Tamandua tetradactyla: one gene and its partners. The protein of the gene in region 3 binds, or shares a complex with, the protein of the main gene of each other region. Links are inferred from orthologs where the notes say so. Each region holds a gene or a part of one and is shown on either strand. Other genes may lie near its edges. The genes, in order: ACTL6B, DPF1, SMARCB1 and ARID2.

What was found.
Region 1: SMARCB1 (region 3) and ACTL6B share a complex: the UniProt entries of both Homo sapiens proteins name them as parts of the BAF complex. The link is inferred for Tamandua tetradactyla from reciprocal best matches to the Homo sapiens genes SMARCB1 and ACTL6B.
Region 2: SMARCB1 (region 3) and DPF1 share a complex: the UniProt entries of both Homo sapiens proteins name them as parts of the neuron-specific chromatin remodeling complex. The link is inferred for Tamandua tetradactyla from reciprocal best matches to the Homo sapiens genes SMARCB1 and DPF1.
Region 4: SMARCB1 (region 3) and ARID2 share a complex: the UniProt entries of both Homo sapiens proteins name them as parts of the SWI/SNF-B (PBAF) chromatin remodeling complex. The link is inferred for Tamandua tetradactyla from reciprocal best matches to the Homo sapiens genes SMARCB1 and ARID2.

Annotation. Positions count from the first base shown.
Region 1 is NC_135349.1:8,743,236-8,751,196, forward strand, and holds the start of ACTL6B (actin-like protein 6B), read right to left. Parts: upstream 3,002-7,961; coding exon 2,977-3,001; intron 2,542-2,976; coding exon 2,465-2,541; intron 2,284-2,464; coding exon 2,118-2,283; intron 1,811-2,117; coding exon 1,710-1,810; intron 1-1,709. UniProt on the Homo sapiens protein: Involved in transcriptional activation and repression of select genes by chromatin remodeling (alteration of DNA-nucleosome topology).
Region 2 is NC_135342.1:25,754,276-25,761,983, reverse strand, and holds the start of DPF1 (zinc finger protein neuro-d4), read right to left. Parts: upstream 3,007-7,708; 5' UTR 2,944-3,006; coding exon 2,915-2,943; intron 1,558-2,914; coding exon 1,214-1,557; intron 1-1,213. UniProt on the Homo sapiens protein: May have an important role in developing neurons by participating in regulation of cell survival, possibly as a neurospecific transcription factor. Belongs to the neuron-specific chromatin remodeling complex (nBAF complex).
Region 3 is NC_135331.1:25,825,953-25,832,940, forward strand, and holds the start of SMARCB1 (SWI/SNF-related matrix-associated actin-dependent regulator of chromatin subfamily B member 1), read right to left. Parts: upstream 3,004-6,988; 5' UTR 2,819-3,003; coding exon 2,726-2,818; intron 1-2,725. Other genes in the region: MMP11 (stromelysin-3), read right to left, coding at 5,614-5,747, 6,639-6,896.
Region 4 is NC_135333.1:105,665,163-105,672,733, forward strand, and holds the start of ARID2 (AT-rich interactive domain-containing protein 2), read left to right. Parts: upstream 1-4,557; 5' UTR 4,558-4,694; coding exon 4,695-4,786; intron 4,787-4,900; coding exon 4,901-4,994; intron 4,995-6,057; coding exon 6,058-6,155; intron 6,156-7,571. UniProt on the Homo sapiens protein: Involved in transcriptional activation and repression of select genes by chromatin remodeling (alteration of DNA-nucleosome topology). Required for the stability of the SWI/SNF chromatin remodeling complex SWI/SNF-B (PBAF).

The DNA of each region.
Region 1 (7,961 bases), on a different chromosome or scaffold from region 3:
CATTCAGGGAATAAAAAAGAGTCCTTGGAAACTAAAACTACAAGAGCAGAAATGAAAAACTCAGAGGAAAAATTGAAATCGAGGGGGGATTCCCTAGAAATTAGAGCAAAAAGATAGAAATGGAAAAGAGAAAGAAAAGATAAGAAAACTAGAGAACCAATTCGGGTGGTGTAGAATCCAAATAACAGAACTTCCCAAAAGAGAGAATGAAGGAAATTGAGAGAAATCATTAAATAAATAATTGAAAATATTCTCACTGCACTGAAAGACATGGGTTTCAAGATTGAAGGACATACTGAGTGCCTAGAGCAATGGACGAAAATAGACCAATATCAAGACACACCATTGTGAAATTACAGAACACTGAGGACAAAGTAAAGATTCTACCAACTTTCAGAAATGAAAACAAGACATCAGAAATCAAATGGCTTCAGTCTTCTCATAACAACAATAAAAGCTAGGTGGCAATGAAGAAGTGCCTTCAAGATTCTGATGAAAAATAATTTCCAATCTGAAGTTTTATACCTAGCCAAGCTATCAATCCAAGGTCAGATATGCAAGATCTCAAAAAAAAATTTACTTCCCATGACCTTTCTATGGAAGTTACTGAAGTTCCTGGGGCCCTGGGTTGGGAGCTAGGCAGGTGTGGGAATCAGTGAAGTGGGGGGCCTCTGGGACTTGAGCAACTGAACATGAGGGGGTAAATCAAAAGGATTCATGAGATACAGAAACAGAAATGCTAACACAGGAGAGAAGCAAAAGGATTCCCTAAGATGATGGTGAAGGAAGATGCCAGGTATAGAGGGCAGGTAGTCCAGAGTGGAGAATATCAGTGGGCTCCTGGAGTGATTTCTTCAAGATGAAATTGGTAGAATACCTAATGGAATTAATGTTTTGAGAGAAGATGTAGGTAACTGGTAGATAATTGAAGGTCACATTACTGATAGGTAGATAGAAAACTAAGCAAATAAAAAAGCAAGCAAATGTCTGTTTTAGGGAGAACAAAAGGTTGTATAGGAAAGGAAATGTAATCATAGTTTGTTGCCTGGCTCAGCCTTGATCAGAATACACAGCAACAAGGGAGTAAACACTGAGGACTGATCTTTGAAGAAAACAAATTAAAATGCAACTATACTTAGGGGTGGGGAACAAGAAATGTGTGCAGTGTGAGGTGGAAATTGAGCTAAATGTTCATTTTATCTAGTGGGAAGTCCACAAGCAGCAATTTAAGCATGATATTTAGAGATCTGGAAGGAAACACTCCCCCCCCCAAAAAAAACACAAAAAATTGGCTGAAAGAGATGAGAAGCAGTTGTCTTTGGAAACGAGGAGTTGGAAGAAGGGGGTAGGAACTGCCCTTCTTTTCTTATACTCTATAAAGCAAATTGATTCTTTATGTGTATATAAAATGTCAAAAAACTTTAAGTTAAAAGGTCTAAAAAAAGGAATTTTGAGGGGAAGGGGTATAAAAGGGCATGTTTAACATGGATTGGGGGAAGGGCAGGTGGATAGAGCAGGAAGAGAGAGTGAGGGGTGGATTCTAAGCCAGGAAGGAAGGGAAGTGGTTGAAGAGCTCTGAAGTTGGAAGGAAAATCTGACAAGGGAGGATGTGGTATGACCAATGGTAGGGGCAAGAGGTGAGAGGTGCACGGTGGAAACGAAGTGCCTGGGCCCCAGGGCTGGACTAGGGGCTGGGCCGAGGCACTTACCGGGGCCTCGGACATGAGCACTGGGTGCAGGTTTGGTTCAGACTTGACATGTTTGCTGTAGGTGTGATCCAGGATGGCACGGAAGCACTCCCAGTCCTCAACTGGGCCCAGAAGACCAACGTGGAAATATGTGGTTGGGCAGGCAGGGGTCCCGGGACAGGAAAGAAGTAGAAAGGAAAGAGGCTAAGTTCAGAGAAAGGGGAATTGAGGCAGGTCTAGCAGAAAACCCCTCTCCCAAGAATCTGGTGGGCCCCTGGGTTGGGAAGCAGGCAGCTGTGGGAAGCAGCAAGGGGCTCCCCAGGGCTGGGCAGTTGTAAGGAGGACTCCGTGGGTGTGAGGTGCTATGTCCCAGGTTGTGGGGAGAGGTCTCCCGCCTGTATCAGGAGGTGGTGGCTGGGGGCCCCTTACTCATGCCGTTCTTGAGAGGTGACATGACCTCGGCTCCATCCCGGGGCACGTGCAGGGCGTTGGTGTCGATGTGGAAGATCTTTCCTTTCTTCTCTTTCTCCCCCTCCAGCTCCAGCCCGCCCCCCTCCTCCGCGGCCAGCAGCCCCACCGTGGTGGGGAAGTCAGCCTGAAGGGGGGAGGGTGGGCAGGGAGAGGGATCACCCTCCTGCCCGCGTGCAGCTCGCCCCGGGGTTGACTCCCACACTCCGGGTCAGCAGAGGCTGGGCTGTGAGCACCCCAAGTTACCGGAAAGTCTGGAAGGGGAGTCCGGAGCCCCGGGGATTTGGGGAAGGGGCTGGAAGGCTCACCTTGGGGCAGTCCTCCCCAGCGTACCCAGCGCGGACTGAGAAGGAGCCAATGTCAAAGACCAGCGCCCCCACCTCATCTGTGCGGGGAGACACATGTGTCAGGGGTCCTCCCTCAAACTCTCTCCCCCTGGACAGCTCCAAGGGGAGGGCAGGGCAGAGCCACAGTCTCTAGTCTCGCCGCCTGGGACAGGTGGGGGCTTGGCCTGGAGTCTGGGGTCCTGGCAGTGGGGGTCAAGCCGGACAGAGTCCGTCCTGCCGAGTGGCCTTGCTCAGCAAAGAAGGAGGGGGGCCGGGGTCCCGGCGGCGGTGGGTTGAATGGCCGGAGGGGTTGGACCCGGTGCACGCGGGGCTTCCCGGGGAGGACAGAAGGTAGGGGTGGCGCGGGACCCAAGCCCCGGGCTGTTGCCGGCTGGGGCGCCGAGTTGACAGGCCTCGGGGTGCCCGGAGCTTGGGTCGCACGGGTTCGGGGTCCCAGGGCTCCGGCTCCGGCCCGAAGCCTGCGGCTCGCTCACCTCCGCCGTAGACGCCCCCGCTCATAGTGCCCTCTCAGCGCTGCCGGCGGCCCGTGGGCGGCGGCGGGATCAGCACCGAGGCGGCCGGACAGCTCCCGGGATCCCGGGCGGGGCGGGGCGCGCGGCGGCCAATCGGGAGGCCGGATCCCCCGCCCCCAACGGCGCTGCCGATTGGCTGCGAGGCGAGACAATAACCCGGCCCGGGGGCCGCTGCTTTAAAGGGGCAGAAGCCCCAGAGTGGGCGGGGACGAGAGGGCGAGGAGATGACCGGGACGGAGAGAACGGCCGTGCGGGATGGGCAGACCGAGAGGAGGAGTAGAAGGAAATGGGCTCCCCTCCGTCCGGAGAGCAGGACTCCGACGCATGTCTGATGGGGTCCCTGCTCCCTTTCTATTTAAATGGGGTCCGGGAAGAGGGCGCCGTAGTCCCGCAGAGTCGTCCATCCTCAGGCTCTAGAACGTGGTTCAGCAAAGCCAGGGTCGAGAGCAATCACCCGGAGAGGGAGGAGAGGCGAGAGGCAAAGAGAGGACCCGGAGGGGGTGTGTCTCCATCTTCTCATCTTTCTTTCCACCCTGGTCATTTTGATGGCCCCTCTTTTCCTCCCGCGCCCCCTAGTGCCTGGACCTCAGATACACACGTGTGTACACACGCTCACACAGAGGCGCTCAGCTTCCTTTCCCTACCCGCCTCTCTTCAGCCCCTTTTATTGCTCAGGAGGCATTTATGAAGCAGGTTTTGTATCCGCTCCTGGCTGGACACCTCCACAGCGGTTTTGAAAGGGACGGTGAAGGAGCGGCTCTTGCAGCCTAGGTTAGCCAAGAGCCTCTTGTGTAAGCATGCATGTGTAGGCGTGCACCCGTATATACTTGTTTATGTGTGCTTGTGCACGCGCATGCATATCTCTCTTTTCATGTGTACATATGTGCATGTGTATGTAAGCATGTATCGGGGACACTCTTACCTGCTTGTTTGGAGGCTGGTGGCAGGGGTGGGGGTGGGGGGGGGGGTGTCTTTAAGACCAGAAATGGCAGAGGAAGAGGGTACTGTGTGAGTACAGCCACAGCGTCCCTGAAGGGTCTCTGCACACCAGATGCCTATCCTGGAAGAAGTTTCACCCTTCCCTAGCCAAAGGGCAGATGGTTGAGCTGTCTCATTGATTTCCCACTGACCACAGTGGCATCTGAGGCACCTGGGGTTGGTCCTGGGTCCAGGACTGGCTCCCCAGTCTGGCGGATCTGGGCGCAGTGGGAGGATGAGCTGTAGGGGAGAGAGTAGACCCCGAAGCTGGGGCATTGAGACTATCCCAAGTGACCATAGATCAGTCATTGGCCTCTCTATGAATTGAGACCTAGGTGAGTTGGATGAGTGCCTTAACCTCTCGGAGTCTGTATTTTTTCATCTTTCAAAGTGTCGAGGTGAGGATTAAAGGAACACTGCAGGGAAAAATTATTCCATTCACAATCTGGTTTTATGATATTTAATGATGTAATCGTCACTTCCTGGGTAAATTCACCTGGTCAATTCCCACTACTCCTTGGGGGCAGCCACCTCACTGTCAAAACCTGCCCCCGTTGGAGAAACCTTAGTGAGCAGATGCCTAGGGAGTCACTGGGAAGGTTATAGGGTTGAATATGGGTTGGCTCCCCATTACATGGGATCTTTTTTTTTTTTAAGGTTTTTTTTTCAGTATTACATATTTTAATTTTTTAAAAATTTATTTTGTATTATCAAACCAAAACAGCATACAAACATTCCATGTATGGTGTACAATCAATGGCTCACAATATCATCACATAGTTGCATATTCATCACCACAATCATTTTTTAGAACATTTGCATCACTCCAGAAAAAGAAATAAAAAGAAAAAAGAAAACACTCACACATACCATACCCTTTACCCCTTCCTCTCACCGACCACTAGTATCTCCATCTACTCAATAGATTTTAACCTTTGTTCCCCCTATTTTTTTCTATACCCCTTATCAGCCCCTTTCATTGTTCACTAGTATTTCAATTTACTCAATTTATTTTTGACATTTGTTCCCCCATTATTTATTTATTTTTAATCCATATTTTTTACTCATCTGTCAATATTGTAGATAAAAGGAGCATCGGACACAAGGTTTTCACAATCACACAGTCACATTGCAAAAGCCATATCACTATACATTCATCTTCAAGAAACATGGCTACTGGAACTCAGCTCTACAATTTCAGGCACTTCCCTCTAGCCTCTTTAATACACCTTAAACTAAGAAGGGGATATCTATAAAGGCATAAGAATAACCTCCAGGATAGCCTCTCGACTCTGTTTGAAATTTCTCAGCTACTGACACTTCATTTTGTCTCATTTCTCTCTTCCCTCTTTTGGTGGAGAAGGTTTTCTCCATCCCTTGATGCTGAGTCTCAGCTCATTCTGGGATTTCTGTCCCACGTTGCCAGGGAGGTCCACAACCCAGGGAGTCATGTCCCATGTAGAGAGAGGGAGGGTGGTAAGTTTGCTTGCCATGTTGGCTGAGAGAGAGAGAGGCCCCAGACATGGGATCTTGGGGTTTTGTTTGAATTGTTGAATGGATCAATTTCTTCCTGAAAGAGCCCAGCTCTCTTGTCAGCCATTGAGAGAGGGCCTTGTTTCATTAACAGCTCCGTCTTCCTCTCCAAGCTTCACTGTCCTTATCTATAGAATGGCTGGTGGTGAGGACTTAACCTGAGACCAGAATCAGGTGCCTGGCTAAGAACCGGGCCCCAGGACTACTCAGTAGTCATTGGTCCTTCAGAACATACTTGGGAAGTTTTTGAGGCTTTAATATTATTAAAAACAAGTCCAAATTCTGTAGTTTATCTGGTAATGAGGAGGGAAGTTTCCTCTCAAGCCTGGTGGAAAAGCTACAATCTGCTATCTACAGGACTGGACTTGGATTCCTTCCTAAGCAACTGTGTTCAACTTTCACTGGTCATGGGATCTGACATGAGTCCATTGTATTATGGGCATGGTTACAGTGAAGGGAGTTAATATATTTCATTTGTCCACTCACTGACTCAAGGGACTTTTTTTTAAATGCTTACTGTGTGCCAGGCACTATGCTAGGCATGGGATTACCAAGGTGTCTAAGGTATTTCTGCTGTCAAGGAATTTTTGAGCTGGAACTTAGATCTAAATGGAAGTAGGGTGCATTGAAGACTCAGAAGATGGAAGAGCTACCTGTCTTTGAGAGCCCAGGAAGGTTTCTAGAAGTTTGAACTGAATCATAAAACATTTTGGTACATGTGGGAATAGTTAGGAGTTCGATCTAGAAGGAGGATTAGACATGAGCTGTTGGCAGAGGCCAGTGCCACTGGGGGATGAGACTAGACAAGTCATCAGAGACCAGCTCTTTCATGCCTGTAAGTATTTAAAAAAAATTTTTTTTTTTGCTTTTTCTATTTTCTTCTTCTTTTCTGAAACTATTTTTATTTAGCAGACACAAAGCATCTACTTTATGCCAGGTACTGCTATAAATGCCTTACCAATATTAAGTCATTTAATTTATCCCCAGTTTGCAGATGGGGAAACAGAGGCATTATTCTAGTCTGCTAGCTGCCGGAATGCAATATACCAGAAATGGAATGGCTTTTAAAAAGGGGAATTTAATCAGTTGCTAGTTTACTGTTCTAAGGCTGAGAAAATGTCCCAGTTAAAGCAAGTCTATAGAAATGCCCAATCTAAGGCATCCAGGGAAAGATACCTTGGTTCAATAAGGCCAGTGAAGTTCAGGGTCTCTCTCTCTCTTAAGTGAGAAGGTTCATGGTGAACACAGTCAGGGTTTCTCTCTTGGCTGGAAGGGCACACGGTGAACAAGGCGTCATCTGCTAGCTTTCTCTCCAGGCTTCCTGTTTCATGAAGCTCCTCGGGAGGCGTTTTCCTTCTTCATCTCCAAAGGTTGCTGGCTGGTGGACTCTGCTTCATGGTGCTGCAGCATTCTCTGCTCTCTCCGAATCTCTTTCATTCTCCAAAGTGTTTCTTCTTTTATAGGTCTCCAGAAACTAATCAAGACCCACTCAGATGGGTGGAGACATGTCGTCACCTAATCCAGCTTAACAACCACTCTTGATTAAATCACATCTTCCAGGGAGATGATCTGATTACAGCTTCAAACATACTTTGAACAGTATTGAATAGAGATTATTCTGCCTTTACAAAATGGGATTTTGATTAAAACATGACTTTTCTAGGGGACATACATCCTTTCAAACCAGCACAGGCATGGAGGTTAAATGACTGGCCCAAGGTCACTCAATTGGTAAGTGACAGAGTTAAAATCTAAACCAAGGCATATGAAAAATGTTAATCCTGGGCAGGTGTTATGCTTTCATTCATTCAATAAATGTTCCCTAGGTGTCTGGTAGGCACTGGGAATAAAGCATAATACAACTTCCATTGAGTTTAATGTCTGTCCAGGAAGGTAGATGCCTAAATGATTAATTTCATAAACAGATCTGATGGTTCTCATATTTCAAGCTCCCATTCTGGGTGGACAAACCTGAACACCTGGTAAGAAGGTCCAAGGCGGTAGGAGCAGGCCTCTCAGACCCCATATCCTGTAAATGTTTTGGCATCTTCCGGGGGTCTGTTCATGGTTTGCTGAGCTCTCATCCAGAACTGTGTCAGATCAAAAGTGTGCCTTGGCTTCACTGAGAGCCGCTGGCCCAGTGCAGGTGGCAAATGCCCAAAAATAAACAGAGTCCAGTAAAGGCTGCAACAGGAATGGAGCCAGCATTGCAGCGGGGCACAGACAACAGCATGGTCCTGGAATGCTTCAAGGAGAGGCAATATTTAGATTGAGCCTGAGAAAATGACCTGAATTGTCCGAGCTGACAAGGCAGCGGGGGGTGGAAGACATTCTGAGTAGAGGGGACAAGACCTGGCCTGTGTGTCATGCAAAGAAGTTTGGCCCTCTTTGTGGAATTGATGGGGAACCACTGCTTGATTTTAAATAGGAGAGTT
Region 2 (7,708 bases), on a different chromosome or scaffold from region 3:
CCATAGGGGGGTCAAGTGGAGAAGTCAACCCTGGAGGACTCACATTGCACATGGCAGCAGGGAGCATGCTCTTTGTGGGAGGGAGGGAAGAGGCTTTCCCACACTCAACCAGCAACAGAAGCAGGGATTCAGCCACTCATCCTGGGAATGATGCCCAGACCCTGGGGAAGAGACAACCAACCAGACCTTCACACACACTCAAACACCCATGAGGAAATACACTCAAACTGGATACAGGGGAACATTCACAGGGGAGATACAGATCATCTGAGGTGGTTGGACTCACAAAGAGAGAGGTCTATACCTGAACCCTCAGATCCACCCAGATGCTTGGGAAAGATAGACCCAGACCCTTGGATATACCTGTCCACACATGGGAGACACATTCAGACCCTTGGAGACACTCTGAGACACCCAGAGATACTGTCCAACCCTCAGCTACACCCAGACCCATAGAGGGACACAACCAGTCCCTAGCATACACCTGGACAAGGGAAGAGAAATAGCCAGCACTCTGATATCCCTGGACACATTCAAGAAATGATAAGGCCAAATGCTCTGACAGACAAGACACACAGGCAGAAATACACCTTGTACTCCAGATACTAATGGGAAGAGATTCTCCCAGACACCCCAATATACCTAGACACACTCAGGAAGAGAAATGGATATGGATATTCTGATAGCCCAGACTCACACAAGGAGAAATAAAGCTTCTACTACACCTGAAAAGAGACGCCAACACTGATGGACTCTGCTACAAATGGAGAGTTACAACCGGCATTCTGACACACTCCAATATATCCAAGAGGTAATACAGACACCCCACCACATCAGGACACACCCAGGGAGATGGATAGTCCATCACACATAGGTACCTACCAGAAGAGATAGGGCCAGGCATCGGATACATCCCGGCTCACAAGGGAAGGGAGACAGGTCAGAAACTTAATAGACCTAGACACAGCGTAATAGAGACCACTGTGCCCTTAAATACACCAAGGCCCACTTAGGAGGAGATACAAGCAGAAGCTCAGACACTCAGGGAAAACTGTAGAATCTCTGGAATATGCCCAGACACACTTGGACAAAACACACAGCCCACCAGTCACTAGAAGGGACACAAAGCCAGAGGATCAGACACACACTGAGATCAACACACACTTAGCCTACACTAGGGGCCCCAGCAGGCACAAGGCACTGCTCCACCCACCAATTTTGTACTCGCAGGGCCGGAGTCTGGGGTCCTCAAGGATATTGAGTCTCCGTTTCTTCCTCCAGCAGCGGGCAGGGTACGTGTAGATCTGTCCCGGGGCCAGACCTGGAGTGAGGAGGGAGGTAAGAATGCGGCCAAGAAGCTGCGGCCCCGCCCCACCCCTGCCCACCCGGCGGGTACCAGGCCCGCGGTGGGTTTTCTCCATCCAGATGTAGCAGTTGTTCTGGGCCACGCCGGTCTGCGAATCAAGGAAGGGCAGGCGCAGGCTGCGCTCAGCGCACAGGCGGGCGTTGTAGCTGCGGCAGTGCTCGATGGCCTCTCGGTAAAAGTCCTCGCCTAGGCTGCGGGGCGGGTGAGCGGGCGGGCAGCTGTCAGCAAGGGTAGGTGCGCTTGGTCACGCAGCACCCCTCCTCCAGCCCGGCCTTCCCAGAGTCAGGGATGGGTGGACCCATCCCTCCTATTTCACCTCTTCCCTCTTTGCCAGTCCTGGACCCTCAGTGGAGGGAGCAGACAGAACCAAGGGGTCAAGGGTTCCCCAATATGGGACTCAAGAAGGCCTCCAACTAAGAAGTAGATGCACACAATACAGAAACATACAAAAACACACCAGGACCCATCCAAAGATAACACAGATAAATCACACATAGACACACAGGATTCACACACAAAGACACATCCCAAGACTCACAAAGGAGAAACAGACAAATCTCACACATATACTGAAAAACACAAATATCCCGTCAAATACTGTTGAAAGAGATAGATCACACATATATCCATGCACAAACACACATCACATATCCAAAGATGCACAATACAAACAAATCACCCATTCAGAAATCACATAAGAACACACAACATGGAAACACCCATCACAACACACACACACACATGCACTCCAGAACACACACAGATACACAAATGTCAAAAAGACAACAGTAGAAAGAAACCAACCACATATGCACTTACACATATATCCAAAGACATAGCACAAACAAATCACACGGAATCATATACAGACATATAATACAAAGAAATCACACAGATTCACACAGGGTACACACACACACATTCAAAAAGACACACAACATAGAAACCAACATCTCAAATACCACATATCCAAACACACAAAGATACATACATATATATTAACACAGAAACAAACTACCCATCTTCACACAAAACTCTACAACACAAATACACATATGCCTACTTATCCAAAAACAGAGAACAGAGACAAATCCTGCATAGTTCCTAAGAACATGTGTACATGCTCAAAGACCCAAATATCAAAAGATAGTGCAAAATAAAATAAATCACACACATATTAAACACACACACGCAAATAAGTCACACACACTGCATTCCAAGACAAAGGTAGTGTGGACTTCAGTCGAGTTTACTAAGGCCCCCACCCCCCGGGCCATTTCACCTTCTCCCGGACCCCTGCTGGGTAGGGATGATGAACCCCTTCCCCAACGAAGACCCCGAGGATCCCCAACCCTCCACCCCGCCAGGAGCGGCGCCTAGGACACCTTCTTGCCGGAGGCATACAGTCACACACGCACCCCCGCGCAGCCCCGCACCCAGTGACAGCCCCCTAGACACCACAGCGGCCCCACCCCCGGCCGCCACACATACACACCCGCCCGCGCAGACCCGCCCGCGCGCCCTCCCCCCTCCCCCGGCCCGCACCACCTCAGGGGGCCGGGGATGACTGTGGCCATCTTGCTCCCCGGGTCCTGCCCCCAGCAGGTCCCCGCCGGGTCGGTCCTCCCAGCGCTCGGGCGGGCGCCGAGGCAGCCCATCCATTCATTCCCGGGGGCGGGAGGACGGGGGCCCCAACCAATCACCGCGGCGGGGCGGGCCGGCCCGGGCCATGCTGGGAGTGGTAGTCCCGGGCCTGGGGGCCCCGCGGACCCGGCGGCCTCAAGGGAGGGGGCGAAGCGCAGGGGGCCCGCGAGGCGGGGCCCGAGGGAGCGCCCACCGTCCCTCACACACGCTCACTCGCCCCACATCCTAGACGTACATGCACACACTCACACAAGCACACCTGGACTCACCCACGCCCACACCCCGCAGTTTTCACATTCATACACTCACAGGTGCCCACCCAGACATAAACACACTCACACACCCGCCCACACCGCTTCACACAGACCCCTTCATAGAGACTCACAGCTGCACTCACATTTACACTCACGCACACACTTCAATGCCAAGAGACTTAGAGACACCTTACAGGTTCCCACACAGACTTCCCACCAACGTGTGCACACACGCGGCTCGGCGACCTCCACGCCCCAGTGCCTACTCCCCTCGGGACTGACTCTGCCCCAGCCACTCTCCCAGCCGCCCCACCCTCCTCAACCCTGACACTGGTCAGGTGCTGTGGCCACCTCTGGGTTCTGCCACTTGCTTACCACTTGGCCATCAGCAAGTAACTTCATCTTTTGGGGCCTCAGTTTCCTCCTGTGTAAAATGGGGATGATGCCTCATAGAATTGTTGTGAGAATGAAGTAAGTAAATATGGGTAAAGTGTTTTAAAAGGGGCCCGACACATAGTAAGGGCACAATAAATTCATCCATTCCACAGAGGATCTGATATGCACTGAGGGAAAATGGCTAATGGTTATTAGAATGGATTCTGCCTGGCACACAGGCGATGCTCAACATCCATTTGCTGAGCGACTACATTTACTGAGCACTATGTGCCAGACACTGTGCCCTATACACATGGCATTTAATCCCCAGAGCAGCCTTCTAGGGAAATAACATTCTTATCCCCATTTTCCAGGCAAGGAACCTGAAGCACAGGGAGGTGAGGTACGTGCCCGAGATAACACAACCTTCGGCCCCTGGCTCACCCAGGTGCCATCCCCAAGTAGTTTATCCCCATCTTTCTCCCACTGTCACCCACATTGACACCACCCTAAGGGAATCCCCAGAGAATGAGCTGGCCCACCAAGTCACGCACACTCATCCAGTCTCTACACACACACACACACACACACACACACACACACACACACATACCACCTGAGCCTCCCTGTCCAGAGTTTGCATCCAGGATTCAGAGGCTACATGGATGGACAGTTTCATTCACGCCCACAATGCCCTCCTCGGCCAGGGAGCCCTACTGCAAATGGGGAGAGGGGGGCACGCTAGTCTTCATCAATTTTGTCACTCAGTGACTCACACACATACACACACACACGCCCTTAAAGAACCCCTCAGGTTCTCCATACACAGCTCACTCCTCTACCCTGAGACCCCCCCTCATCCTCCTAACTCCGGGGAGAGGGAGTCTCTGCTTCTATCTGGCCAAGAGTAGGTGGCAAGGTGGGTGAGAAGAGTGAGTGAGGGACACTGGCATGCCATCCCTAAGGTCAGGGCTTCCTGGCCCCTGTGGTGGCCATGCCATAACTCACCCCTGCCGACCCACTGGCTCACACTCAGAGGGAGCCTTTGCCACCTTCTCTCACCTGCTTCACCCTACAGATCCCTAGCACACCCTCTTGCACTTGCTTTCTACACTAGGAGCCACACACACCCCAACTCACCCCTTCCCCACTCCACAACCCTCACATCAATTTGAGCAAGCGAAGCCTGAGTGTAGACACCCCATCCCCTCCTTAGAGGCCCAGGTCCACCCACAGATCCAGGCTGACACTGGGAGAGGGTCTCCCTCCCCTTCCTCACCTCTAGTCGCTTCTGCAATCCCCTCCCCCCCACACTCTCCTACACACAGGAACCCCCAGCCCCACCCCCAGTGCCCACAGTACAAAGCAATATTGATAAAGCATGATACTACCACCTACCACCGTTATCTACCTTTAGTCAGGGCCAGACTCAACTCAGTGCTTTATAAATGTCACCTATGTAAGCCTCATAACAGCCCCATGAAGTAAAAAGAACTAGTATTGCACCCAATTGTCAGATGATAAAACTGAGGCTCTGAGGGAATAGAAAATTAGTGGCTCAAACTGGGGTTTGAGTGTAAACAGTCAGAACTGCTGAGAGCTGCATTCCCCAGCCTCCTGCTTGAGAGGGATCTGACTCCCACATTCCTCAGGAACATGTGGGCCCCTACCATGGCCTCTGCAGATCCCTGGTAAGGCCAGAGCAAAATGGGCGCTAACACTGCCAACCCCCTGGTCTCCAGACCCTGCAGTGAGCTGCCCTTGGGTGAGGGGCATCCCAATACCTGTGTATCTACCAACCCTCATAAGAACCCCCTTTCCCAGCCAGTTTGAGGGTCTCCCTCTTAGGAAAAGCATGTGTGTGTGTGTGTGTGTGTGTGTGTGTGTGTGTGTGTATGTGGTGTGTGCCACTGAGGGTAAGAGGGAAGCAGATGGGTGTCACAATCACACTCCCCTTCAGGATGACTTGAACCTCATACACCCCCTCCAAAACCACCGCAAAGCCACCGGTGTTGGCGCGTGCTGTAAGTCCCCGCCTCCCCCCCCATCACCACCACACACACACCCTTCTCTCCCAACACCTCCCCCCTCCCGCCCTCAGAAGCCAGCAAAGACTGGGGGGCCTCTGGTACAGCCATCAGGCGCGACCCTTCGCGGGGTTGCCCCCACTCCCCTCCTTCCCTCAGCACTCGATGCTCAAGGTCAAGGCTGCGAATGCACGGAGTAGAGGGAAGGGTGGGGGAGGTCGCCCTGGCCCCTTTGTGCGGCGGCGCCGCTACTCGCCCTCCGCCTCCTCCCCCAGGCCAGGGAGGGGAGGGGGGAGGGGAGCGCCGCGCTCGCCAGCCGGGTAGAGAGAGCGGGAGCGGCCGCGCGCCTGTCACTCGGAGCCCGCTGTCAAGGCCTGGGGCAAGGGGGTGGTGGAGAGCTGGGACCCGTAGTCCAGGATCTCAACGAGCGAGCGAGAGATGGAGAGAGGGAAGGAGAGAGAAGGATAGAGCCGGGGATGGCAAGGAGGGGGAAGGGGACCGGGTAGCTACGCTCAAACCCAGGCGTCCTGGCTCCCGACCACTGGGCCCAGGTAGAAGCTAACGCTCGGACCGGGAGAAAGGGAGGGAATCCTCGGAGGATGGGGTTCCAGAGCCATCGGTCCCCAGAAGGATGGGAGATGCTCTTGTTAGAGGTATATGGTCGGGGATTGCGGGGTGGGGGGTGGGGGGATCCTACGGTCTGAGACGACCGTGGTGTCTTGGACCAAAGCTGGAGATCCGAAGAGGAAAGAGTGGAGACAGCAGGAATATAACCCGGACACCCGACATCTCAGCTCCCACCCTAAAGACGCTCGGGCCCGGGTCCCCAGAGAAAGAGGGGAGAAAGAGAGAAAGGTGCCTGACTGAGGGAAAGAAGGATGGTGGGGATCCCGAGATCGAGGTAGGTCCTCCCAACTCTATACGGAGGCAGGCCCAGCGCCGTCAGTGAGATAGAGGAGAGGACGCTCCAAACCCCCTGGGTGGGGAAACTCGGCCTCGGCCGCCCCCCAGCTGGTGCCACATTCCTTCACAGACAGCGACAAAGAAGAGGCACCCCTGCGGCCCTGGAGGGTTTCCCTCCCCCAACCCTAGGAGGTGATACGGGGTGGAGGACCCCCAGGGGCGAGAGGGTGTGCTGGGCATCCCCATTCAACTACCAGCTGCGCGCTGCTTCCCCTCCCCAACGAGGGCGGGGGAGGGGCTCCTGGGTGTGTTCGGGGTCGGGGGGCCCGCGGAGACACTCACGACTTGAGCGGGTTCTGAATGGCGGTGGCCATGGCCCGCTCAGCGGGGCCGCCTCCGGCCCGGGGCGCCGCTGCCGCCGCGCGCGGGCCCAGCCCGGCCTGCGCCGCCCGCTCTGCCGCCCAGCGCGCTACGATTTCATTCATTCTTGGGGCTGCAGCGCGAGCGGAGCGGGGCGGGACGGGGGCGGGGCTCGGCCAATCCCCGCGCCTTCCGGCGCACGACGGGTCGTGGAGTCTAGGGGCGCGCAGCGGGGCCCGGGGGCGCCCCTGCAGGGACTACACGTCCCAGGGGGCGCCGGGAAGACCGCACGTCCATTGGCTGCTGGGGATACAGGGCGGGGCGGGACTCGCCCCAGAGCATCCTTGCCCCCTCCCTGCGAGTTCTCCCTGCCCAGCTCTCGCTTCCCACCTTCCAGGCAACCTGGGCGTGGGAGAAGGTGGTAGCCGGCTTCTGGGCCTCCCCAGGGTTTGTGGGTGACACCAGGCTCTGTCGTGTGTGCCTGCTTGTCCGGATACATTTTTCTGAGGAAGCCAGCATAGGTGTCAATCAATTCTTCCTAAATTTATTGAGCTCTATATGCCGGGCGCTCTTCAAGATGCCGAGCGTCAGACAAAATCGCTGGCTCAAGTTGTTGATTTTCTAGTGGAGAAAGCTGGTAAAAGAAAGTAAATAAGTAAGAGCATTTCAGAGGGTGAAAAGTACTATAAAGAAAAGAAAACAAGTTGATTCAAGAGAGAAGTGGTCTCTCTGTGGAGGTGACGTTTGAACTGAGATCTGAGGAAAGTACCAGCCATGCA
Region 3 (6,988 bases):
GAGGGCACTGGCCCTACCTGTAACCCAGAATCACTTCCTCTTTCTGGAGCTCTCTCTGCCCATCTGCCAAATGCTCGGCAACGCTGAACTTCCGTCCACTAAAGACCATTTTGATTTTTTCTCCCTTTTACTTGCCTAGCAAATTTATTAATAAAGATGTGTTTCTCTGGTGTTCACCGGTCAGAGGTTTACAGAACAGACGACCAGAGCATCTGAGCACCCAGGTCATTCTGGCTCTAGCCCCCTCCGCACTATGTGGCGTGTGTCATTTCCATCCGAGCGGAAAGCACAGTCTCTGTGAGGTCTAAGAAAAGCAATGGCACTAACGCCCCGTTACTGCCTCGCAGGTCCTGCAGGGCGTGGTCTCCCCACCTGCACCCAAAGCCCCTTCCGAAGGCAGGAGGCTGGGACGTGGCTCCCTGGGTTTTCCCAGAACTAGCCCCTGCCCTCTCTGGATCCAGGCATCCTGACAATGAAATGAAAGTGCTACACCTGGTGATTTCTTGGGGTCCCCTCAGCTCTGTGACTTGGCTCAGTGACTCCAGACCTGCAGATGGTAGAAGAGTGACATGCACACACTGCAACTGTGGGTGCCACCTCCCCTCCCACCCCAGGGTAGCTCCAGGGGCCGCCCCATGAGGCCCACACAGGGTGCCAGGCATCACCAGCGCTGGCCCACCCCTCTGAACACGGAGGCTCTTTTCTAAGGGGAAGGGCCAGTCACAAGAGCTACAGCCTAGCAACAGACAGCACTCTGATCTTGAACCCTTCCCTCAACTCCAAGTCTGATGACTGCGGAGCCTGGCTGGAGGCAGCAAACTGCCTCACTGATCTGGGACTCTACAGACGGGATCTCAGGAGAAAGGGTCGCACATATGATTACTCTTTCCCACTGGGGTGGGCAGGAGAGAATGGCTGAAGAGAAGACCACAAAGCATTCTAGAAAGGAAAACTTGTTAAGCAAGGATCTTAGGGACCATCTAGTGTTAGCATCTTGTTATACAGAGAGCGGTGACCCAAGGCAGAGCTGGGTTGGACCCAGCACCCTCTCCACTCCTCCCACTGGGCCACGGGCTTCTCAGCCACTTCTCATGTGGCTCCGCTAACAAACAAAAGCCTTCTCTTTAGAAGTAACACTCACTCGGAGTCAATGCCAAACAGACTGCCTTCTCCGCCCAGCAAATCAGGTAAGGGTGTTCCTTTTAACAGACAGCACTGGCATCAGGTACTGTCTCCTGGACCGCCTCTGTGCCCTGCATTTTACATGTGACCTGTTATCCCATCTATGGGATAACACAAAGAACTGCTTATACCCTGCCCTTAATGCTTTACAAAAATTGCTGAAAAATGGAAACACTAACTTTCTAGTGCTACTGACAACACGGAGCTACCACACGGGACCCAACTAACACAAGACCACTGTCTCATGTGTCCTGAAAGCTGGAGTGGGACAGTTACAAGGCTCGATTCATTCACACCAGATTTGATTGTGAAGAAAATAACACAATTTTTAAAAACACAAATGAAGGGTGCACGGATGGTTCATTGGTAGAATGCTCACCTTCTATGAGGGAGACCCGGGTTTGATTCCCTGACCATGCATCCCCGCCCCCATCCCCCCCAAAAAAGAATGAAATGGTGGCATATGGTATTGAAAATGGTCCCAGGAGAGATACTTGGCAATTTATAATTGCTTTAGCTCTCCAGGTTGGCACTTACCTCTTTACATGAGACTCTACTGCCTGACATTCACCCAGTTCAATTTTATACCCATGATTAAAGAAGGAAAAAAAAAATTAAAGGAATATACACTCACTGGGGACAGCCTTTAGGCCAAAAAGGGCCACTTACAGGCAATCTGACAAAACTTAACATATTTAAAGGGACTAGCTGTAGGATTTTCTTAAAGTCAGTGGTCCAGCTGACTCAACCAAAGCACTGTGGCTTCTCATTAAGGATTAAAGAGAGGGGATCCTGCCCCCTTAATAATTGCAAATCAGTCCTTCACACATATCCAAAGTGTCAATTTCTTCAGAAGTGCAGAAAAATCTAGCAACAAGCATCCTTTTCCCTGTCTGTTTCTTCAGCGGTAAACAAAGCTCAGAACACCTCCACCGTCCACCTCAGAAGCAGGAACAAAAGGGGGGACATGGGAGAGGATGAGCAATTTCACGAACTCAAATGGGGGAGAAGCAAAGGTGCATCTGAGTTTTTCAGCATCTCAAAAGTTTCAAGGGTAGTCATGCAGCTCCATCCCTACTCCTCCAGACCCCCTACGGGCTGCGGGACTAACAGAAGTATCTTGTTTCTGTGCACCTGGCTGGAGGTGTACCACTGGCACTTCGTGGGCCCAAAGTCCTGGAAGCACCCAGAACCAAGAAAAAATGCGGACGCGAACCCAGATTTTCCAAAGTGCGCGGGGGCGGGACCGGCTCAGACCACGCCCATGGAGGACGCGCTCCTCACCCGACCTGACCTTCCCACCCAGCCTCACCCACGGAGGCCACGCCCCTCTCGGGAAAGCCTTCCCTCCCAGGCCACGCCCAACAGAGACCACGCCCCCATCAGTCAGGCCTTCCCTCCCAGACCACGCCCACCGACGTCCCGCCCCGCCACCTCGCGCGCGCCCGCCGCGATGAATGGAAACGCGCGCTCCCAGCGCGCCGACCCGCCCCTGGACTCCCGCGGGGCCGGGCGGGGAGGGCGAGGGCGCGCCGCGGGCTACCTCAGAGCCGATCATGTAGAATTCGCCGTCGTCTTCCAGCTGGAACTTAACGGGCTTCTGCCCGAAGGTCTTGCTTAGCGCCATCATCATCATTGCGGCGGCGGAGATGGGCGGCCGGGGCCGAGCTGCGAGGGGCCTGAAGCGCAGAAGCGGGGCCGGGACGCGCCGCGCCGAGGAAAGCCAAGGCCAGCAGGCGAAGGCCGGGCCAGGCCGGGTACTGGAGCCGTCGCTGGGCTCCTCAGCAGCCGCTGCCGCCGCCGACCAGGCCGCTGCCGGAGCGCATGCGCGGGCGTTGACGCTGACGCGCGCGCCGCTGCTCCCCGGACAAAAGGCTGGGGCGCGCTTCCGCGGGCCTCTTAAAGGAACCGCGACTAATTTGTCTTGCTCCAGAAGAAGCCTGGAGGCCCTGACTATGTCGGTGGCTTACCCAGTCTCGGCCTGGAGCTGGGCCTGAAGAGCAGGATTAGGACAGAGCTGTGTCTTGAAGCCTGAGTGGCCTGGGCGTGCTTTGTGACACCATCCTCCCAGACCAGTGCCTCAGTTTCCCCAGGCCAGTGCCTCAGTTTAGTCACCTCGAAAGCGCAACTTTGCCTTGCTCAGTGCTTACAAGCCAGGCGACCCCAGACAGCCCTGCCTTGCCGCGCTTACAGCCCAGCACTAATGAAAGCATAAACCAATCAACAGATCCGGTTGCACCATGCAATAGGTAAAAAAGCAGTCCTATGTTGACAATTTCGCATCATTTAAAGTAATAAAATAATAAAACTCGTGATGGACCAAGATAATCAAAACTGCATGGTACTGGCACAAAGACAGACTATAGACCTATGGAATCTAATCGAGAGCTCAGAAATCAACCCTCACACTTAAGACCAACTGATTTTTTTAAACTTTTTTTTTTATTGTGAAATATATATACAAAAAAGCAATAAATTTCCAAGTACTTAAAAAAAATTCATGATGGGCTCTACAAAGAAGCCACAGAAGGAGTGGGGCAGTGGGATAAGGGACACTGCAGGGATAATAGGAAGGGTAAGCTGTAGCAACCTGGATTTTGTTCTGTGACCTGATAAAAGTGGGAAACCTGGGCGGGCCGCGGTGGCTCAGCGGGCAAAGTGCTTGCCTGCTATGCCGGAGGACCTCGGTTCGATTCCCGGCCCCAGCCCATGTAACGAAAACGGAGAAACAAAATACAATAAAACAAGAAAATGTTTAAAAGATGTTTCCCTTTCTTCCTCTCTTCCTTCCTTCTCTCTGTCTTTCCTTAAAAAAAAAAAAAAAAAAAAAAAAGTGGGAAACCAAAGTATTTTAAAACAGGGGCTAGACCATGGCATGATCAGTGGAGGATGGATTGAGGAAAATGACCATGGAAGCTGGAGGCTGATTAAGAAACCCTTACAGAGAAGCTGAGCCTACTTATAATTATGCCTAAGAGTCACCCCCAGAGAACATCTTTTGTTGCTCAGATGGCCTCTCTCTCTAAGCCAACTCAGCAGGTGAACTCACTGCCCTCCCCTATGTGGGACATGACTCCCAGGGGTGTAAATCTCCCTGGCAACGTGGGACAGAAATCCTTGGATTAGCCAGAACCTGGCATCAACAGATCAAGAGAGCCTTCTTGACCAAAAGGGGGAAGAGAGAAATGAGACAAAATAAAGTCTCAGTGGCTGAGAGATTTCAGATCTGGGAGGTTATCCTGGAAGTTATTCTTACACATTGTCTAGATATCTCTTTTTAGTTTGTGGTATATTGGAGTGGCTGGAGGGAACTACCTGAAACTGTTGAACTGTGTTCTAGCAGCCTTGATCTTTGAAGAAGACTATATAACTATATAACTTTTATTTTGTGACCACGTGATTGTGAAAATCTTGTGTCTGATGCTCTTTCTATGAGTACAAAAATAAATAATGGGGGATATCAGGGGTAAAAAAGAATTGGGTAGATTGAAACACTAGTGGTCAATGAGAGGGACGGGTAAGGATATGGGATGTATTTTTTTTTTCTTTTTCTTTCTTTTTTCTGGAGTGATGCAAATGTTCTAAAAATGATTGTGATGATGAAAAGAAAATCGAATGTGGTGATGAACTATGTGATGATACCATAAGCCACCGATTGTAGACTTTGGGTGGATTATATGCGACATGAAAATATCTCAGTTAAGATTGCATTTAAAAGAGAAGAAGTCCCTACAGGAGTCCAAGTGAGATCTGATGGAGGAATGGAGCAGGAGGGGACCCAGAGGCTTGGAAGTGGACGGACGTGACCCCAGCTCCCTGTGCCTCCAGGCCCAGCTCTGTCCTCATCCTGGGCACAACAGAAAGACAACCAGGCAGGCAGGTAGAAAATGACTGCATTTAATGACAGTTCTCCACTTAAAATTTTAAAAAAAGGCTTTATACACACTGTACACATATGGTTTGGGAGGAGCCCAGTGATATGGTGTCAGAAGGGGAGCTGGAGGGAAGCCAGCCTGTGGAAGGAATGAGGTATGTTGGGGTCTCGAGGACCCGGGATCCCTGACCCTTCAGGCTTGCATCCTGGAGCCCAGCTCTCCGGACTCACCCACCGAAGGCCACCGGGTCCCAGCACCCCTGCGAAGCCAGCTTCCCAGGGACTGGCTTTGCCCCATGGCCCAGGAGCTCGGCTAGGACAGGAGGCCAGGAGGGCCCCGGGGGTCCCTGCTTTAGGGCCAGCGGGGAAGGACGGAGAAAGGATGTCCCCGCTGGTCTGGCCCTGCTGAAGTCCCCTGGGGCAGGGATGGAGCCCCCCGGCCCAGCCTGCAGCTGTCAAAGTGGCAGGAGCCCTGAGGAGACACGGCTCCCAGCCAGAGAGGTGTCAGGGGCCTGCCTGGCCAAGGTCAGGGCCCCCTAAGGTACCCGGGCTGAGGGTCAGTGGAAGGTGTTGGCAGGCTTGGCACAGCCAAAGAAGTCGGGGCCCACGAGGCGGGGGAAGCCCTCCACGACCTTCACCTTCACAGGATCAAACTTCCAGTAGAGGCGGCCCCGCAGGAAGTAGGCATAGCCTGGGGAGAGAAGGAGGGCAGGCCTGGGCCAGTGGACACTGGGCTCTATGCCTGCCCAGCACACCAGGCCTGGGATGGGTGGGGAGGGCTGTGCAGAGCCCATGGGGACCGCCTTTCCAGAAGCACCCCTCCTCTGGTTCCCTCTCCTCCAGGAAGCCCTCCAGGCTGCCCCAGCGCCTGTTCCCAGTCTTCCACCTGGCATGATGGACTCCCAGAGCCTCAGAGGTCCAGTTCCTAGGTCTCAGAAAGGCAACTCACTGCTTCCCTCACAGCCCCCTGACCTTCACGTCAACCCCCCCACCCCGACCCAGATGACTGATGGGCATCCTGGGTGACATGGGAGACCTGGAGCCCCAGAGTTCAAGCCCCTCCAGAAAGCCATCCCAGAGGGTCCAATGTGGGAGCATGCAGCAGAGGAGAGAGCACTGGACTGTGAGTCCTTGGGGGAGGGGGGCATTGCAGGGTTCAGTGTTTAGGAGCAGGGACTGGCTGAGTGGCAGTCCTGGCTCAGGCCACTTTCCACCCCCATGGCCCAGTTAGGAACCTCATTGGCTCAGCCTCTGTTTGCTCCTCCAGGAACTGGGTCGATAACGGGCCATATTCCTTGGGCTCATTCTGGGAATTTTGAGATGATCCATGGAAGGAACTTAGCACTGGGCCTGAAGGATCAGCCCCAGTGGGTGGGCAGTGGTGGTTATCTTCGCCATTAGACGAGGGGGCCAGCAAGTCCTGGTGCCTCTTTGACCCTCTGTCTCCTCATCAGTAATAGGGAGGATGGCAATGCCCCACCAAGAGGGGGCAGGGGAATGGGGATGGCCTCCCGCTCCTCCCGGGTGGGAGGTGCGGCCACTGCACCCTCATTGCCCACCAGCCACCCTGTCCCCAACGCACTGTCAGCATCCTGGAAGGCAGCGTCGATCTCAGAGGGTACCCCCTGCCAGTCGGTGGCACGGCGGGGCACGGGACTGTCCACGCGGTGTGTGCTGGCGTGGAAGCGCCAGTAGTCACCGCCTCGGAAGAAGTAGATCTTGTTCTTCTCGGAACCCCAAACCAGGGCGGCGTGAATGGGGAACCCCTCCATGCCCAGCTCCGAGATGGGTGCAGGTCCCAGGACCAGCTTCTCCCCATTGTACACCCAGTACTGCGCACCTGCCGGGAAGAGACAGAGGGAGGACACAGGAAGCTGTGGCCAGCTGCAAGGGCCCGCCACGGAGCCGCCCGGCTGCCACGGAACCTTCCAG
Region 4 (7,571 bases), on a different chromosome or scaffold from region 3:
TCTGAAGTAGAATTAAACTGTTTAAAGGCTTAGTTGCCAATACTCATTAGAGTCACCATCAGAGTGGAAAGGCCTCATCTATGATTTGATATTTGAATCAATTTCAAGTAAAACAAGTTAGCCAACACAAAAAAGTAAAGTACAGGAGAATACACAGGCACATGCAGTAGGCATGAAAGCACTCTCACATTTTACCAAAAGTATATTTCTTAGGAAGGTCATCTTTAAAATTTAACTTCAATAGCCATGTTCAATCAATTCTTTTAAACCTCAGAGTAACCTAAGAGCCCAAAATTTCTTTAATTAGTTGACATACCAATTCTTCAATTAAGTTGTTTCTGCAGTTGTGATAATCTAACATGCTTCATTTGATACTGGGTATAGTTTTTTTTTAAGTGTAGTTGAGTGAGAGAACTTGTAATCACAACTTCTTGACTAAATAATAGCGAAACTTACAAGAATCAAAGATGAACATAAAATAACAGTAACCTGTAATTATGATGTGCAAGGTTTGCAGTTACTATTAAAACCAATGCTTTGCATTTTTCCTACCATAAAGTCTTGTCATTTTTCATCAGAACAGTAAATTATACTATTGAATTTCAACAGTTTTCACTGCTATTGGTAATTTTTTATAGGAATAGTTTTCATCAATACTTGAAAACTATGAATTACATATCTTATCAAGTAAGTTGGAGAATATCTATTGCTGTAAAGCTGCCAGTACATCTCTGACATTTCCTTCCCAAGATCCACCTGCTCTATGCTGCCCACTATAGGAAATGCAATATGGTACTAAGAAATATAATACTATGCACTAGGGTTACTATTTGTGCAAACCAATAAAAAAAACAAAACAAAACAAAAACTCTCTGGCGACTTGGTTGCTAAGATAGGGTGTTTTTCGAAGTCACAGACTGATTAGTGGTAACCATATTAAATATAAAGGACATCAGTAGGAACAGATAGGACCAGAAACTATATCTTAGTGATCCAAAAGCCAAAGTAGCAACGGGGTACTGCAGGAGATGGGGCGTGGAACTTAGTGATGGAGGTGGAGGGAGCAGAAAGCTGGAGTTCTGCATTAGAAAGGAATAGAGGGTCAAAATCAACAAAAACAAAAACACCTCAGTCAAAAGAGTCATGCAAACACAAATGATTGCTGATAATGGAAAACAACACAAAATCAATTATGCATGCAATACATATTTAAGTATTATCATATGAATCTCGTCTTTCTTTAAACCTTTACATTTCTTTAGCTTCTTCGTCCTACATTTTTCTAATCGGGGGAAATTAAACCAGGTAGCGATCAGATAAACATCAAGTTTTATGTTTCTGTTTTTAAAACTTTGACCAGAGTATGTCCAAGTGTTAGGAATTTAAATTCTATCAGATATACATAAGGACTCCATTTTGACGATGACAGCCTCTTCTACAGAAAAGCAGTTTTTTTATTTCTTATAAAAAAACAATTCATATCAAATCTTAATTCTTAAGATACATTAAAACTCCAAATCTTTATCCTGCGCTGAAAAGCAAAACATACTTTTGTATACGCATGTGTCTACATACACATATGTTAATAGCAGTTAGTGGTTTAAAAGTGGCAATCTCTCCTTGAAAAGTAAAAACATAAAATGTCTCCATTTTGTCCTTCGAAATAGAAATTAAAAAAAAAATCTAGACCGTTCACTGAATAGTTGGTACTAGAAAAACGTTCTAAGGTTTAACCTAACATACAACCCTAAATCCTGACTCGGAAGACTTAAATTTCAGCGTACATGCCTTCATTCCCACTCCAGCCCCATTAGCACCTTCCCTGGCCCGGGGCCGGTCAGCAATGACCCGGTGCGCCTCGGCCACCGGAATTCGACAGCACCGCCCGCCGCCGGCAACCCGACTCCCGGCGCAAACGTGAGTTCCCAGGCCAGGGGCCTCCGGGACTCCCGAAGCTCACGACTCAGACGACTAGACTGGGCCGTGATCCCTAGCATTTAAAAACTACCGGAAAGTCTGCACAAGTGGCGCTGCCAAGGCCCGGTGTTGTCCGCTCCGCATGCGCCCCGTTCCCGTCCCATACAAGACAGCCGGACTGCCCAGGCGACCCTCCACTGGATCGCAGTCTGCTGCCGAGGAATGTGGAAAAGCAATCAAAGCTATTGAGTCTCTGGAGCAGGCAGCCGCAGCTTTCCCTTCTCCCATCAGATACAATTACGCCGGCGGCTTCTGACTCTTCCTTCGAGAAAATGAAAAAATAAAAAAGCGTAGAGGTGCTAAAAGCCGCTGGCATTTCCCAACCAAGGAGATCCTCTTGGCTCCATCCCTTCAGCAAGATTTCAGAACTCGATGCGTCCTCAGCGGAGGTATTCCATGTTGACGGGTCTCTTGCCTCCCACAAAATGGGGCAGAGGAAGCGACTGCTGTCTCCTCTATGGGCGCCGCCATTTTGTGAGGCGGCGGCGGCAGGGGCCCTGGGTGTGTGTAATGGTTGAATAGAATGACCCCCTTTAGGGAATCCCCGGCGCTGACAGTTACGTAAGGGGCCGTGAGCAAGTGCGACGTTTAGGGAATCCGCACAGCCGGGCCGCGGAGATCTGCGGCCCACATCTCCACCACCCCTAAGAGGACCGGCGGTGGGGGAAGGGACAGATGACCGGGTCTCTCCCTCCTACCCCACCCCCACTCCCACTCCCACTCCCCGCCTGGGCCACTGCCCAGCATCTCGACCTCCTTTGGCTGGTTCACCGCACCCACCCCCACAGGCCCTGGGGTGTCTGGAGTTTCCTAGCTACAGCTTTATTTCGAACCCATTATAAGAGAGAAACTTTTCTTGGGAAATAATCCCGATTCCTAAAGTGAGCACCAGAGGCATAGCATTCTGGGCTATATTACATAATTTTTTTCACCACCAAATAAATGTTCCCATCGGCGTGATTGGACTACCTGGAATAATAATCCTTCCAGACACAAACTACCTTGGGTTAGGACTTTGTCCGTAGTGACCACCACTAAAATGGGAATAATACGTTGCTCTACTGTGAAACTTGGCATTTGTAGCAAGGGGCCGGCTGCAACACCCCCTGTAAATATAGACTTAGGTAGTGGTGGTTGTTGAAATGGTTTGATTCTCCCATTTAAGCTAAGTTTTTTTTTTAAGCCTTCAAAATATTTTAAACAAGGGTTGCATTTAAGGAATTTGATAGAAAGCAAGGAAAAATATTTTAAATATGTTTTTGAGATGTCTTAATATGAAAATAAAAACGTTATCAAAGTTCGAAAGATTGCATCCCAACCAGTTTACTGTTTTATAACTATGATTGTAGAATTAATCTACTTTGATAAGTGAAACCAACGAAAGATGATATGAATTGAGAGCATTCCACCGAATGTATAGTTTGCTAAAGTTAGTGGGTAATTCATGGAAAATGTGCTAACCAGGCTCCAGAATACTGATATGAAGCTCAGAAAAGCCGATTCCTTTAGACTTGGGGGAAAAAAGTTAACAAATTGACTTTATTCCAATTTGTGAATGTTGCGTAGCTTGAGGAGCTGTCCCTCAGAGTTTCATTTCCCTCCGGAGCACCTCACCGCTTCGGTCCGACTGGCAGTGACTACCAGGCGGCCCTTCAATAGCCGGGTCGGGGACGCGAACATCGCCTCCACCCCTAACCCTGAACAACCGGTAGTGGCCGTTTCTCCGCGCCGCCCCCCTTTCCGTCGGCTTTGTGTGCGTGTGAATTGTGCGGCACATTGCAGATGAACCCTAAGCCCGGCGAGCCGAGTCTATTGTTCCCCGCGAGGAGCTGCCGGGGCGGTGTGGAGCCAGGTGCAGTGCCGCGGCCGGCCCTCGGGGGTCGCTGTGCGGCGCTGGCTGCCGGGCCGTGGCGGCGGCGCTGGCAGCGACAAGAGAGGGAGGCTGGCGGGGAGGGAAGCAGGCGGGCGGCGCGCAGCGGCTCAGCCGCCGCGGGTGCCTTCTGCCTGAGGACGCCCCGGCCGCCGCAGCCGAGGCCGCGCGTGAATGTGTGCGAGGGCCCCGCGGAGCCGCGGCCGGAATATACGCTGTCACCCCGCTTTCCACAAACCACCACACAGACCTCCCCCTCCCCACCCCCAGCCCCGCCTGCCCCAGCCCCGCCGCCGCCGCGGTCGCCGAAACTCCCTGGTCTCTGACCGCCCCGGCTCCTCACCGTCCGCTCGCCTTTCCCCTCGCCCGCCCGCGCGCGCACGGCAGCAGCACCATGTTGAATCGCGTCCCTGGGCCGAGCCGCCTGGGCCGGCGGCGCTGAGGCGGACGAGAGCCGGGCCGCGAGGAGGGAGGGAAGGAAGGGGTGGGGGTGGGGGCCGCGCTCGCCCCGCGGCTTCGCGCGGATCCGGCATTCGCCTGTCCCTCTAGTTTCGCTCCGATTTCTTTAAACTTTTTTAGAAATTCCCCTCCCTCCTTCCCTCCTCTCCCCCTGGCCTCCTGCTCCCTCTTTCCCCTCCTCCTCCTCCTCCTCCCCCTCCCTCCCTCCCTGCGCCGCCGCCGCCGCCGCCGCCGCCGCCGCCGCCGCCGCCGCCACCGCCGGCCCATGACTGAGCCCCGCCGCCGCCGGCCGAGGAATGGGCTCCGGGCTCTGGTAGGAAGCGCAGGGAGCGGGGGACGCTTTTAAAACACCGATCTGGTTTTTTTAAAAACCTCCTTTGAAAAAATAATGGCAAACTCGACGGGAAAGGCGCCTCCGGACGAGCGGAGAAAGGGACTCGCTTTCCTGGACGAGCTGCGGCAGTTCCACCACAGCAGAGGGTGAGAGCAGAACCGGGGGGGCAGTGCCGGGCGAGCCGGGGCGAACGGGGCTCTCCCGCCCCGGCCGAGTGTGGGGTCCCGGCTGACAAGTGCGGGGCATTCTCTCTTTCGCAGGTCGCCTTTTAAAAAAATCCCTGCGGTGGGTGGGAAGGAGCTGGATCTTCACGGTCTCTACACCAGAGTCACTACTTTAGGCGGATTCGCGAAGGTGAGTGGAAGTTTTAATTTGTATTTCCCTCTCGCTGGCCTCCTCCAAAAAGTCTCCTTTGACCCCGGAGTGGGCGCTCGGGGCTGGGGGGGTTGACTCGCGGGGGCAAAAGGCGTTCTTTTCGCTCTCAGCCGGTGGCACCGAGGCGGACGGCGGCGGGGCTGTTTTTGGCCTGGTGGCTCGCGTGCGCGCGGTGGGCGCGGGGCTCCGGCGGGCGGGCGGCCCGGCGCCGGCTCGCGCCCTGCCGGGTGCCTGGCCCGCCCGGCGGGGTCGGCGCGCCACGGCGGGGAGTGCGGGCGAGCGGGGAGCCCGCCGGAACCCCGCGCCCGCGCCTGCCCGCTCGCTCGCTCGCTCGCTCGTCAGCTCTGCTGCCGCTGCCGCTCTAGCACAGGCGGAGACACAGAGACACACAGACTCTGAGAGCAGTTTTCGTGCAACTCAAAATTAGCGCGGGCAGGTTTAACATCGATAATCGGCTGCGAAATGATCTCGGCAGCCGGGGGCACAGCCTCGGCCCAGTCGCCCTCGGTTTATACGGCTAACAAAAGAAACCAGGACCTGTCTCCAAATAGCCATCTTAGGCTTCAAGGCTAGGCAGAAGCTGTAGGCCTCAAAGAAGGGCCTATGGAGATGGATAGATCTGGGAGAGGGATCGGAATCGGCCCCGGGCCCGGCCCCCCCCCCAGAACCCGCGGACGTCGCTGTCCGGAACGGTATTGATCCTTTTGAACTTTTTTTTTTTTTTTTAGTGTAAACGGACCGCGTTGAGATTTAAAAGGGGGCGACAGAGGGACTTGCGATTGGTTATTGTCCGGGCTTCAAAAACAAAACAAACCCACCAAACCCCCCCCCAAACAAAACAAGTGCTATTAAATACGGGGCTCTCTGGTGAAAACAGTGATTCACACAGCTCTTGCATAGTAACTCTTTTGGCTCGAACCGAAATAACCACCGAAGACTTAGGTATATCCAGATCTCTGTAGAATGGGTATTTATTTCATAGTTAAGTCAGGGTTTTCTTGGATTGTGCAGTTTCAAGCAAGTATGCCTGTGTTTTTAACAGGTTTCTGAGAAGAATCAGTGGGGAGAAATTGTTGAAGAGTTTAACTTTCCCAGAAGTTGTTCTAACGCTGCCTTTGCTTTAAAACAGTATTACTTGCGGTAAGTAGTAGTGATTCTTTAACAGTATTTGGAAATAAGGGGGGAAATTTGTTTTTAGCAAAACAAAACAAAGCCTTGCACACAAAACAGTTTCTAATCGCTTATTTCATTCGAAGAAACATTATCAATAAAGTGTGATTGTAGGAAGGTGCAAGTTTTCCTCACCTATTTTAGAATTGTTTACATTTTTCATATGAAAACTTTACAGGTGACACCCCACCCCCACTCTTGGTAAATATTCTTTTGTGACATTGTTATTGATTGTTCGATATCCACCAAGGGGCAGAAAGGTGATGCTTAGTATAAGAGTTAAGATAGTTAATGAAACTTTGTATCCCTTGGGAAAATTTTTTCTTTGTTTTGGAAACTCTTTTACCTTTTTATGACTTTAAGATTTTTTTTTTTAATGAAACCTTGAGTACACAACCATGCCATTGAGTAGTTTTTAAGTTGGTATTTACATTTAACATGTTGATGCCTTAGGTGACCAGGATTGATTTTAGAATTATCTTTCCTCAAAATGTTGAATGACTTAATATTTAAAAGGATTATTATATGTTTAGGAAAATAAGGGGTACTGTGACGTGTGATGTGATTTGGAATTTTTTTATTTTCCCTCTTTTCGACTCCTTATTTAGCAGAGTAAATTTCTTATTCAGTTAGTATGTGATAGATTTTGTGATTTAGGGGTTTTTGTCCTCCCGCTTATTCTAGGAATATTTTCATGTTGTAATTTATTATGTCATCTTTTCTTTTTAATGTTTGTTTATCCATAGAGCGTCCTTTAGTTGGTGGTTGTTATTCAAAACTAAAATAATACCCTTTGGTTTATTGTTTTTTAATAGTGATTTTACACAATGGCTATTTTTTTGTAATGTGGCTTCTGCATACTTTGGGTTTTGCATTTATTACTGCTCAAAATACACAGTTACTATTGTGTGTCATTTTCAGCATTCTGAAATAGGAAATGCAGAACTTGCACAGGTGCACTTTCTATTGGCTATCTTAGAGTGACTTCAGACTTCAAGCTGAAGAGTTCACAGAACTTTGTGGAGTAGTTACTGAGTTATACAGAAGTCTAGAAACTATTAAGTAGGGTTAGTTGCTGTTTGTTTTTTGTTTGTTTTGTTTTTGTGATGGCATGTGTTTCAGTATATTTTTAAATAAAGGGCAAAATTTACAAACAATGTCAATTGCTCAAACTTGATTTTGTAATGGGGTGAGAAGTATAGAATTTTGTATTTATGGTGACATTCACTTGCTCGTTTCCATTGTGCATGGAAATATTATAATATCCCAATATAATATTGAGAGGAATGATGCTAAATACATGTTCTAGTTTTATTCATCAGATTTATCCTTTAGATTTTAGATGGTTTAAAATCTATATTTTAAAATTACCCCTGATATTTATGG